Linked DNA regions of Arabidopsis thaliana. The protein of the gene in region 1 binds, or shares a complex with, the protein of each later gene. Each region holds a gene or a part of one and is shown in the gene's direction. Other genes may lie near its edges.

Evidence for each region.
Region 2: CDC48 (region 1) and GRF6 share a complex: the UniProt entries of both Arabidopsis thaliana proteins name them as parts of the SERK1 signaling complex.

The regions. Positions count from the first base shown.
Region 1 is NC_003074.8:3,017,078-3,023,602, forward strand, and holds CDC48 (cell division cycle 48), read left to right. Parts: upstream 1-2,171; 5' UTR 2,172-2,416; coding exon 2,417-2,445; intron 2,446-2,594; coding exon 2,595-2,757; intron 2,758-3,046; coding exon 3,047-3,275; intron 3,276-3,401; coding exon 3,402-4,168; intron 4,169-4,252; coding exon 4,253-4,474; intron 4,475-4,563; coding exon 4,564-4,635; intron 4,636-4,718; coding exon 4,719-5,363; intron 5,364-5,452; coding exon 5,453-5,755; 3' UTR 5,756-5,975; downstream 5,976-6,525. Other genes in the region: AT3G09830 (Protein kinase superfamily protein), read left to right, coding at 122-499, 587-847, 922-1,044, 1,125-1,619; AT3G09850 (D111/G-patch domain-containing protein), read right to left, coding at 6,320-6,525. UniProt on the Arabidopsis thaliana protein: Probably functions in cell division and growth processes. Interacts with certain SNAREs as part of specialized membrane fusion events where vesicles from the same organelle fuse (homotypic fusion).
Region 2 is NC_003076.8:3,283,056-3,288,080, reverse strand, and holds GRF6 (G-box regulating factor 6), read left to right. Parts: upstream 1-1,733; 5' UTR 1,734-1,819; coding exon 1,820-2,305; intron 2,306-2,570; coding exon 2,571-2,693; intron 2,694-3,298; coding exon 3,299-3,415; coding exon of another isoform or gene 3,416-3,466; exon of another isoform or gene 3,467-3,509; coding exon 3,510-3,605; 3' UTR 3,606-3,608; coding exon of another isoform or gene 3,609-3,629; 3' UTR 3,630-4,228; downstream 4,229-5,025. Other genes in the region: AT5G10460 (Haloacid dehalogenase-like hydrolase (HAD) superfamily protein), read right to left, coding at 188-259. UniProt on the Arabidopsis thaliana protein: Is associated with a DNA binding complex that binds to the G box, a well-characterized cis-acting DNA regulatory element found in plant genes. Specific negative regulator of slow-vacuolar (SV) ion channel.

The DNA.
Region 1 (6,525 bases):
GTTCGATAATATGCTTCAATGGTTTTGATTTTGTGGTTCGGTATATGTTATATGATCATTATCAGTGTTTTATTGGTGTCCTGCAGTGGACAAACATCGGTATTTTAATCTCCTCTCGATAATGAAGTGTTTCTTGTTCTCTGGTGGGGATAAGAGAGGGGAACAGAAGACCCCTATTTCGGTTTCATTGACCTCTATCTTCTCTGACCGCGAAATAAACCGAAGCGGGTCAGAGTTCAACTCTCGTGATGTCTCTGGGACGAGCACAGAATCATCCATGGGGAGGAAGAACTCGTACCCTCCGGTGTCTACTAGAGCAAGTAATCTCAGAGAGTTCAGCATTACTGATCTCAAGTCTGCAACAAAGAACTTTAGCCGATCTGTTATGATTGGAGAAGGCGGTTTCGGTTGTGTCTTCAGGGGCACAGTGAGGAACTTAGAGGACTCGTCAGTTAAAATCGAAGTCGCAGTGAAGCAGCTCGGTAAAAGAGGGTTGCAGGTATGTCTGTTTTTTCCAATCTTGTTCTCAAGATCTGTTACTCATCCACTGGTTTAACACTATTATCTCATTTCTTGGATGTTGCAGGGGCATAAGGAATGGGTTACGGAAGTGAACTTCCTCGGAATAGTTGAGCATACAAACTTGGTGAAATTGCTTGGCTATTGTGCAGAAGATGATGAACGTGGAATCCAACGGCTTTTGGTTTATGAATACATGCCTAACCGAAGTGTTGAATTCCACTTATCCCCTCGGTCACTCACAGTTCTTACTTGGGACCTCAGACTGAGAATCGCCCAAGATGCAGCTCGCGGATTAACATACCTGCATGAAGAAATGGAGTTTCAGGTAATATGATGACTCTGCTACGTTACTGATCTCATTTCACTCTCTTGACTAACTTTTATTTATTGGCTTTTCAGATAATATTCCGCGATTTCAAGTCCTCGAACATTCTTTTGGATGAGGACTGGAAAGCAAAGCTCTCAGATTTCGGTTTGGCTCGTTTAGGTCCATCTGAAGGATTAACCCATGTTTCTACTGATGTAAGTTCTGCATTCACTTCTTTTGGTTGCAAGATTGAAAAACAGGTATGTTTTTGAACGGGTTTCTTTGGCTTTATTAGGTTGTAGGTACAATGGGTTATGCAGCACCTGAATACATTCAAACCGGCCGTCTCACATCGAAAAGCGATGTGTGGGGTTATGGAGTCTTCCTCTATGAGCTTATCACTGGGAGGCGACCGGTGGACAGAAACAGACCCAAGGGAGAGCAGAAGCTTCTAGAATGGGTGAGACCTTATTTATCTGACACAAGGAAGTTCAAGCTCATATTAGATCCAAGGCTGGAAGGGAAGTACCCGATCAAATCGGTTCAAAAGCTAGCAGTTGTGGCCAACAGATGTTTGGTTAGGAACTCAAAGGCACGTCCCAAGATGAGTGAGGTTTTAGAGATGGTGAACAAAATTGTGGAAGCTTCTTCAGGAAATGGCAGCCCACAGCTAGTTCCGCTGAACAGTGTAAAAGCTTCGAGAGACGCGAGAGGAAAGAACAATGGTGGTGGCGGTGAAGGAGGTTGGTTTGGCAAGTTATGGAATCCAAAGACAATAAGAGCTTGTTGACTGCTTATAGAATTCAACCTCTTCTTACAGCAAAAAAAAGAGTCAAGAAAGGTTTCATGGAGATTCCGAAGGTTGAAGATTCTAGCGAGATCAAGATGAAGCTCATATACATACATAAAGATAATTATATATGAAGATTTGTGAAAGATTCTAAAATGATGAAATATGATTTTTGTATGAACTTATGAATAGTAACCACAGCTAAATTAGTAAGATATGTATATTAAGCAAGAACGGCTTATCAGAGTTTTGTTCCAAAGCTGATCAATCTACTCGTGCTTAAGTGTATATTTGTGGTAATGTGTTAAGAGTTCCTATTAATTACCATAAGTAAATCACAAACATAAATAAAATGAAAATAATTATGGGCTTTAAGGTCTGGAGGACTACTGAAATTTGGGAGAAGTAGTTGGAAAAAGAATATTAGTCGATAGGTAGGAAATTGATATTGCTTGTGGAATGGAGGAAAAAATTGAACGAAAAAGAAGTTTCTAGAATTCTAATCACATAACATAAATAGGGTGAATATTTGGGAAAAGTAAAACAATAGGGGTCGGTTTGATATTACTAGAAGATAAGAAACAAAAAGGAAAATAAGAATAAAGGAAAAAAAAAGAGCTCTCTTTTCCAACAAGAAACGTAGAGAGATATAATTAGAGAAAATCTGTGCTCTTTCAGATCCCATTATCACAAATCCATCTCTCTCTCTCTCTCAGAGAAGAAACCAAAGAAGAAGAAAAAGCTCTCAACTTTCTTCGATTTCTCAGGGAACTCTTTCGTTAATCTCAAACTCAATCATGTCTACCCCAGCTGAATCTTCAGACTCGTAAGTACCCAGATCTCTGATTTTGGTTTTCCGATCGGGATTTTTTTCGGATCTTCTTAAAGTCTGGGTTTTTCGATTTTGGGGATTAGGGTTTTGGTTGATCTTGTGTTTCTATAGTTGAATCTTAATCTTCTTTGTTGTTGTTACAGGAAATCGAAGAAAGATTTCAGTACTGCTATTCTCGAGAGGAAGAAGTCTCCGAACCGTCTCGTCGTCGATGAGGCTATCAACGATGATAACTCCGTCGTCTCTCTTCACCCTGCAACCATGGAGAAGCTTCAGCTCTTCCGTGGTGATACCATTCTCATCAAGGTTTGGGTTTGCTTTTGTTTGTTTGGATTCTCTTTTGATTGAGATATTGAATGGTTGGTTTCTGTCTCTATGAAGAGACATAATTTAGGGTTTTTTCTCCTTGCTTGATTAATGGATTCTTATGTGGTTCTACATAAACTAGGGTTTGTGGTCTTTTGAAACAAGTGATTTATGATCTTAGGTATTATACAAAATAAAAAGACTTGCTTTTGTACTGATCCTGTCTTGGTGAATGATTCGTATTAGTAGTCTTTATGAGTTCTTATTTGGTTTGGATTTTGGCTTTCAGGGTAAGAAGAGGAAGGACACTGTCTGCATTGCTCTTGCTGATGAGACATGTGAGGAGCCAAAGATCAGAATGAATAAAGTAGTCAGATCTAACTTGAGGGTTAGACTGGGAGATGTTATATCTGTTCACCAATGCCCAGACGTCAAGTACGGAAAGCGTGTTCACATCCTGCCTGTTGATGATACTGTTGAAGGAGTGACTGGAAACCTATTTGATGCTTACCTGAAACGTAAGTTGCCTTTTTGTTTTAGATCCTTATCCAGTTATGCAATTTTGATTTTTCTTTGGATGTTCTTGTTTGGTTTGAGATATTATTAGAGTGATTTCTTAACAAAGATTGAATTCTTTTCAACAGCTTATTTCCTTGAGGCATACCGTCCAGTGAGGAAGGGTGATCTCTTCCTAGTCAGAGGAGGAATGAGGAGTGTGGAGTTCAAAGTTATAGAGACAGATCCTGCTGAGTACTGCGTGGTTGCTCCAGACACAGAGATTTTCTGTGAGGGTGAGCCTGTGAAGAGAGAGGATGAAGAAAGGCTAGATGATGTAGGTTATGATGATGTTGGTGGTGTCAGGAAACAGATGGCTCAGATTAGGGAACTTGTTGAACTTCCCTTGAGGCATCCACAGCTATTCAAGTCGATTGGTGTTAAGCCACCGAAGGGAATTCTTCTTTATGGACCACCTGGGTCTGGAAAGACTTTGATCGCTCGTGCTGTGGCTAATGAAACGGGTGCCTTTTTCTTCTGTATCAACGGACCTGAGATCATGTCCAAATTGGCTGGTGAGAGTGAGAGCAACCTCAGGAAAGCATTCGAGGAGGCTGAGAAAAATGCGCCTTCAATCATATTCATTGATGAGATCGACTCTATTGCACCGAAAAGAGAGAAGACTAATGGAGAGGTTGAGAGGAGGATTGTCTCTCAGCTCCTTACGCTAATGGATGGACTGAAATCTCGTGCTCATGTTATCGTCATGGGAGCAACCAATCGCCCCAACAGTATCGACCCAGCTTTGAGAAGGTTTGGAAGATTTGACAGGGAGATCGATATTGGAGTTCCTGACGAAATTGGACGTCTTGAAGTTCTGAGGATCCATACAAAGAACATGAAGCTGGCTGAAGATGTAATTTTCTAGTCATAGCTTTTTCTGTGTTTGTTGAGTGTAATGTTTATTGAATGCTAAATTCTTCTTGTGGTTGTTTTCCAGGTGGATCTCGAAAGGATCTCAAAGGACACACACGGTTACGTCGGTGCTGATCTTGCAGCTTTGTGCACAGAGGCCGCCCTGCAATGCATCAGGGAGAAGATGGATGTGATTGATCTGGAAGATGACTCCATAGACGCTGAAATCCTCAATTCCATGGCAGTCACTAATGAACATTTCCACACTGCTCTCGGGAACAGCAACCCATCTGCACTTCGTGAAACTGTGAGTATTGACAGTACTCTGCTTAGAACGAGATCAAAGATTGTATCTTTGCGTAAATCTCATTCCAAATTTTCTTCTTTGCTTTGCAGGTTGTGGAGGTTCCCAACGTCTCTTGGAATGATATTGGAGGTCTTGAGAATGTCAAGAGAGAGCTCCAGGAGGTAAATTGCTAATATTTACTTTTGCTTGGGTCTGTCTATTAATTGTAATTTGTAACCTGAGCCGTGTGATTGTTCAAATGCAGACTGTTCAATACCCAGTCGAGCACCCAGAGAAGTTTGAGAAATTCGGGATGTCTCCATCAAAGGGAGTCCTTTTCTACGGTCCTCCTGGATGTGGGAAAACCCTTTTGGCCAAAGCTATTGCCAACGAGTGCCAAGCTAATTTCATCAGTGTCAAGGGTCCCGAGCTTCTGACAATGTGGTTTGGAGAGAGTGAAGCAAATGTTCGTGAAATCTTCGACAAGGCCCGTCAATCCGCTCCATGTGTTCTTTTCTTTGATGAGCTCGACTCCATTGCAACTCAGAGAGGAGGTGGAAGTGGTGGCGATGGAGGTGGTGCTGCGGACAGAGTCTTGAACCAGCTTTTGACTGAGATGGACGGAATGAATGCCAAGAAAACCGTCTTCATCATCGGAGCTACCAACAGACCTGACATTATCGATTCAGCTCTTCTCCGTCCTGGAAGGCTTGACCAGCTCATTTACATTCCACTACCAGATGAGGATTCCCGTCTCAATATCTTCAAGGCCGCCTTGAGGAAATCTCCTATTGCTAAAGATGTAGACATCGGTGCACTTGCTAAATACACTCAGGGTTTCAGTGGTGCTGATATCACTGAGATTTGCCAGAGAGCTTGCAAGTACGCCATCAGAGAAAACATTGAGAAGGTTAGAGATCCCATCGCCAAGCTCTTTATCCAAAGATTGTTATACTCTCCAATCGTTGAACTGAAGCTCATGTTTTTTTTTTGTTTCAGGACATTGAAAAGGAGAAGAGGAGGAGCGAGAACCCAGAGGCAATGGAGGAAGATGGAGTGGATGAAGTATCAGAGATCAAAGCTGCACACTTTGAGGAGTCGATGAAGTATGCGCGTAGGAGTGTGAGTGATGCAGACATCAGGAAGTACCAAGCCTTTGCTCAGACGTTGCAGCAGTCTAGAGGGTTCGGTTCTGAGTTCAGGTTCGAGAATTCTGCTGGTTCAGGTGCCACCACTGGAGTCGCAGATCCGTTTGCCACGTCTGCAGCCGCTGCTGGGGACGATGATGATCTCTACAATTAGTGATAACTTCTTTATCCTTTTTTTTTTTAAGTTTTAAAACTCGAATTCTCTACTTTTGGATTACTGGGGAAAGTGATACTGATTCTTTCCTCGTGTTTTTAAGTTATCCGAATCTCTTGTGTTTGGGTTTTAATCAATGTTCTTAATTTTCGTTTCAATACTTGTTTGGTCGTTCATTACAAATGGAAAAAATAAAGGATTATAAAGTAAGTTAAAAAGATTGCAAGTGATAAGTAATTGCTTTATAAGTGGTAAGTATCACAAATGTTCCCACTTATCAGCAATTTCCGCATATCAATGTTAATGCTCTAAGATCGGTACTTTCTTTTATAGAATCTTGGAGCCGAGGATGTATTTTTTTTTGCATCAATGGTGGTTAAAGAAGCCAAAAGAAAGGATGCTTTATTATGTCAACAACATTGATGTCAAGATAACAACAAAGCTGCTCCCAAGTCTTAAACATAAATTGAACAAAGGCCACATGTTGAAGATTGAAGATGAACATACTTAAAAACGATATCTTACTGTTCTTGTTCAAACATTGACCGTTAAATACTTCAATGTTTAGCCTTCAGCACCTATTCCACGTGCTCTAGGACGTCTGACAGCGACCAGCGGATTGACTATGCCTTGTGACTCTCTACCCAGACCCGAGCCTTCGACGAAACCCATTCTCGCCATCATCCTCGACCCAAAGCCTGTTGTGTGCTGCTCAAAGGCTCCCAATCTTTTGTCCCTGATTCTTCCTGAACCAGAGGCACCATTGTCAT
Region 2 (5,025 bases), on another chromosome or scaffold:
ATTACAAGGCTAATATTATACAATACGTGAAGCCCATTAGTTAACAAGATGAAGTGAATCGAAAACATGATGATTTTGTAGACAATCGGATCATCAGACTAACATAGATATGTTAATGGCTTCGCTCGTCATAAGAGGAGGAGAAAGTCAGAGAGCACATAAGAAGACAGTAAATTGAAGGTCAAACCTTAAAATTTCTCGTCTCAACTATGTCTTTGAGGCCATTCATTGGCTGTGAGAGCTGCGAGGAACAGAACATTTTTCTTCCTGTGACGAGAAGAAGAAGAACTGAAGAGAACTGGACCAATCGAAAAACAAACCACAAAGTGTTTTTCACTTTACCACAAGCACAACGCATACGTACGCGCAACATACGCGAGTAAGCTCCACGCTTTACTTATGTAAAACAACATTATATAGTAGCTAATCCTTCAGCAAACAACATAGTCGCTTTGGCCGAGTGGTTAAGGCGTGTGCCTGCTAAGTACATGGGGTTTCCCCGCGAGAGTTCGAATCTCTCAGGCGACGATATTTTTTTAATATTTTGTCTTTCAAAACAATTTCCCGCCCTTTAAACAAACAACCGCTCAGTTGACCAAAGCGCCCCTTCTCTCTTTCATTCTTATTTTGGTGGCAACAGTGATGAATTTGTATATCAGATTTATAGAAACTTGAAACGATCGCTGAGTTTATATATATATATATATACATTTTATTAACAATAGAACCAAAATGAACATATGAGTCATCACTAATCTAACTACACCATGCCCAACTCTTATAGCTGAATGTTCAAAGTATGGTTTCTATCAACATATTTTTTCTCTCTTCTTCTCCAAGTAGTACAGTATGCAGTTTTCCATATAGCGTTTACAAAAGCATAGACCGAAGCTCCATTATCAATCTTGGTGCCTCCAAATTTTCGTCCTTTAACGAATTCCCGATTAAGCTTTGCATTCGAGTCACAAATATCTCATCTAAAACCTGTAAATCATCATATAACAATAACAAGATAAGAATCAAAAAGGCATATCCTTATTGTTTTTTGCAGTGATAAAGAGTTGTGAAAGAGAAAAAGAAAAAGAAAAATGAGTTGTGAAAGTCCAAAGTAAAGGCCGAAAGAAAACATAACGGCCGAGAGACGGAGCTTGTTCCCATCCGTCGATGCAAAAAAAAATTCCTTCTGGACTCACGGTGACGGTTGACCACATGAACGTATTAAAAAGTCTCCTTTCTCGGACTTTGTCTTTTTATTTTTCACTTTTTTCCTTTGCAGACGACACTACTACTAACTATTGATTTCCATTTTGGTTAATATACTTTAATATTAAAAGAATATATACTTTAGTCTTTTAAATTATGTACTTTATTTCTCTTTAAGAAAAAGTTTTCGCATTTTATGCAACAACAAAAAAAAAGGTGTGTATTACAAACTTCATAAGTATTGGAATTCATAAGGCCCATATTAGGCCTAATAAAGGCCCAATCAGAGTTCTGACTTTAAAACTAGTGACTAGAAGCTGACTCACTAAAAAACTATTATCGTCCATTCACTCGCTCTTATCACAAACCCCAAACCCTCCCAACCATCCCACTCGCCAACACAAACCACGCTCCTCACTCTACGAAAGACTATAACATCAAACGCCGTCGTATAATCGAAAGTGAACACACTTGCGCGTGGGTTTAATATACATCTATTTTTAATAGCCCACCTGACTCTTTGCCCTTTATTCTTCTTCTCTCTTTCTCTTTCCCATTTTCTTCAAATTTTCCCCATTAAACAAAAAAAAATCAAATCTCTCTCTTTCTCTCTCTAATGGCGGCGACATTAGGCAGAGACCAGTATGTGTACATGGCGAAGCTCGCCGAGCAGGCGGAGCGTTACGAAGAGATGGTTCAATTCATGGAACAGCTCGTTACAGGCGCTACTCCAGCGGAAGAGCTCACCGTTGAAGAGAGGAATCTCCTCTCTGTTGCTTACAAAAACGTGATCGGATCTCTACGCGCCGCCTGGAGGATCGTGTCTTCGATTGAGCAGAAGGAAGAGAGTAGGAAGAACGACGAGCACGTGTCGCTTGTCAAGGATTACAGATCTAAAGTTGAGTCTGAGCTTTCTTCTGTTTGCTCTGGAATCCTTAAGCTCCTTGACTCGCATCTGATCCCATCTGCTGGAGCGAGTGAGTCTAAGGTCTTTTACTTGAAGATGAAAGGTGATTATCATCGGTACATGGCTGAGTTTAAGTCTGGTGATGAGAGGAAAACTGCTGCTGAAGATACCATGCTCGCTTACAAAGCAGCTCAGGTTATTTTCATTCTCCAAATCTGATTTGGCTGATAAGTTTTGTTTGTGAACTCTGTTTACGAGATTTCTTCTATTGGTAATAGCTTCCAAATCTAGTAATTATGTCCTGATCTAGAATTGGTCTCTAATTGAGCTACTATGCTTATCAAATCATGAGAAAGTAGATTGCTGTTTTGTTTCAGTTTTTGTCTTAAAGAGTAAAAATTGCTTTCTTCAAACTGATGGAGATGTTTTTGTCTATTTTTCGATGTGATGTTTTTTGAAGGATATCGCAGCTGCGGATATGGCACCTACTCATCCGATAAGGCTTGGTCTGGCCCTGAATTTCTCAGTGTTCTACTATGAGATTCTCAATTCTTCAGACAAAGCTTGTAACATGGCCAAACAGGTTACTCTTCTTCTTTCTTTTTCGCTGCTTGCCTCAATTAGGAACATCTCTTTCTCTCTCTTTCCGTTGCCTCTCTGGTAACAAACATATAAGTCGTTGACCTGAGTTTGTCTCTTGAGAGTTTGCTTCTGTTTCTTGCTTTATGTTATTACAAAAGAGAATTGACCACTTGTTGACTAGTCTTGTTGTACTTTTTTCTTTTCTTAAGATGTATTGTTGGGTAAAGAACCAATCTTTGGCCCTCTGTGTATCATCATTTCTTATCACTTTGAATGAGCTTGCTTGATGTTTTGACTAAGAGGATTGACCACTTGTTGACTATTTCTGTTGTACCTTTATCTCCTGAGTATGTTTTGTTAGATAAAGAACCACTCTTTGATTCATGGTGCTTCATCTAGTATCACTTTGAGTCAGCTTTTTTAACAAAATTCCTCTTTTTTAATAATCACAGACTAATATGATGATGAAGATCCATGTTGTCCAATACTAGGACTGATGTCTCATTCTGTTTCAACTAGAACTTACGTATAAGACATTTAGTAAAACGGCAGAAATTTTTCACTGTGGGGGCATTCTCAATTTTGATACTGGATTTTTAATTGTAGGCTTTTGAGGAGGCCATAGCTGAGCTTGACACTCTGGGAGAGGAATCCTACAAAGACAGCACTCTCATAATGCAGTTGCTGAGGGACAATTTAACCCTTTGGACCTCCGATATGCAGGTATTCACATCTCTTTATGCCGTACCTCGATATTCTACACCATTCGAATAACTATAAAGATCATATCTTAGTGTGATTAGTGTTTCCATCATAGACCAATCAGATGCATCATATAAGAGACATCAAAGAACATGTTAAAACTGAAATAACCGCAAAACCGTGTGTGCTGAGTTATTACTACTCTATGTAACAGGAGCAGATGGACGAGGCCTGAGGATCTAGATGAAGGGGGGGAGGGTTGTTACGCGATGTTTCTGCCACCAAATCGATCTCAAAATCCCCATAACCTTTGCTCAAAAACTGTGAAAAAAGATTGAAGTGTTTATGATGATTATGATTGTGCACAGCTTGATGATTTATCTACTCTACTAAACCTCTGTGCTCTTAATATTTATTGTCTCGACTCTGCTCAAGCCTTAAAAACATCTTTCTCCTTAAGGCTCCTCTGGTTAAATTATGATCCTTCTACTGTATCGTCAAAATCAAGTTGGAACCCAAAATTCGTGGATTTTTTGTCGGTGTGAAACTGTGAATAATAAAAATCGTCAATGTTGTTACGTATATAAAATCCAGTCAAACCAAGAAAATCTGTGCAACATAGGCTGTGGAAGAATGCGACCATAGAGAAGCACACACGTATCAAAGAAGTCGAATCTCTCATTACGCAAAGAGATGCAAAATATCAAAAGTGTACTTGGACCACTTTGTCTGCATTGCATGCATGAAAACTATTTATAAAAATAACAGTCTTTGGTCGAATTCTGAGACATTTAGTTGTTTTCTCATACATTACTCCAACTTTTCTTTTTCTTCCACCAATCTTTTCAGAGAAAGATACTGTAAAAACCAAAGTTGCTCGCTCACACGTGATTCCAGTCCACGTTCATTATTTATATAAAGCTTGTCATGTTAAAAGCTTTATATGATTTTAAAGATGTTTATTCTTGAAGTTTAATTGTATTTGGATTTTCTTAAGTAGTGGTATTATTTTTACGGGTTTCTTTTCTTTGAACTTTTTGGTTTTCAGTTCTTTTGTTAAGAGTTTTCCTTTTCAGTCTAAATGCAAATAGATGAATGGATCACAATATGTGTGCTCTCCTTTTAACTATTATGTAGCAAATGATTTTCGATAGCCAAAAAGACTTGAGATGAGTCTCCTCATGTTAGTTATCTAATGATTGCATATGACAATCACATGATCTTATGCTTATGCAGGGGGTTCTGAAAATTCGGTGTTCTCAAGCTAATTATATTGTAGTCCACGAATATGTTTGGTGCAAACGATATTCACACTTCTCACCTCACCAGCAACAATATTAGCTTCTAACTAACAACACTAATATAATGACTAGATATTCATTGACTTGGCCTCTACTTCAAATTCCTAATTCGTTTCCATTTTGTCACTGAAAAATATTTTAATGCAATTTACTATCTAATGTAATATTTTCTGTTCATAATTTGATGTGCGTTTCCATGATAATTTTGTATTAAAATATAAAATAATATGAATATATTCTAACTAATATACAAATATATTCTAACTAATATACCAAAAATTACATAAAATGTCTTTCGTATTCATATTTATATATTCATAAAATAACTAG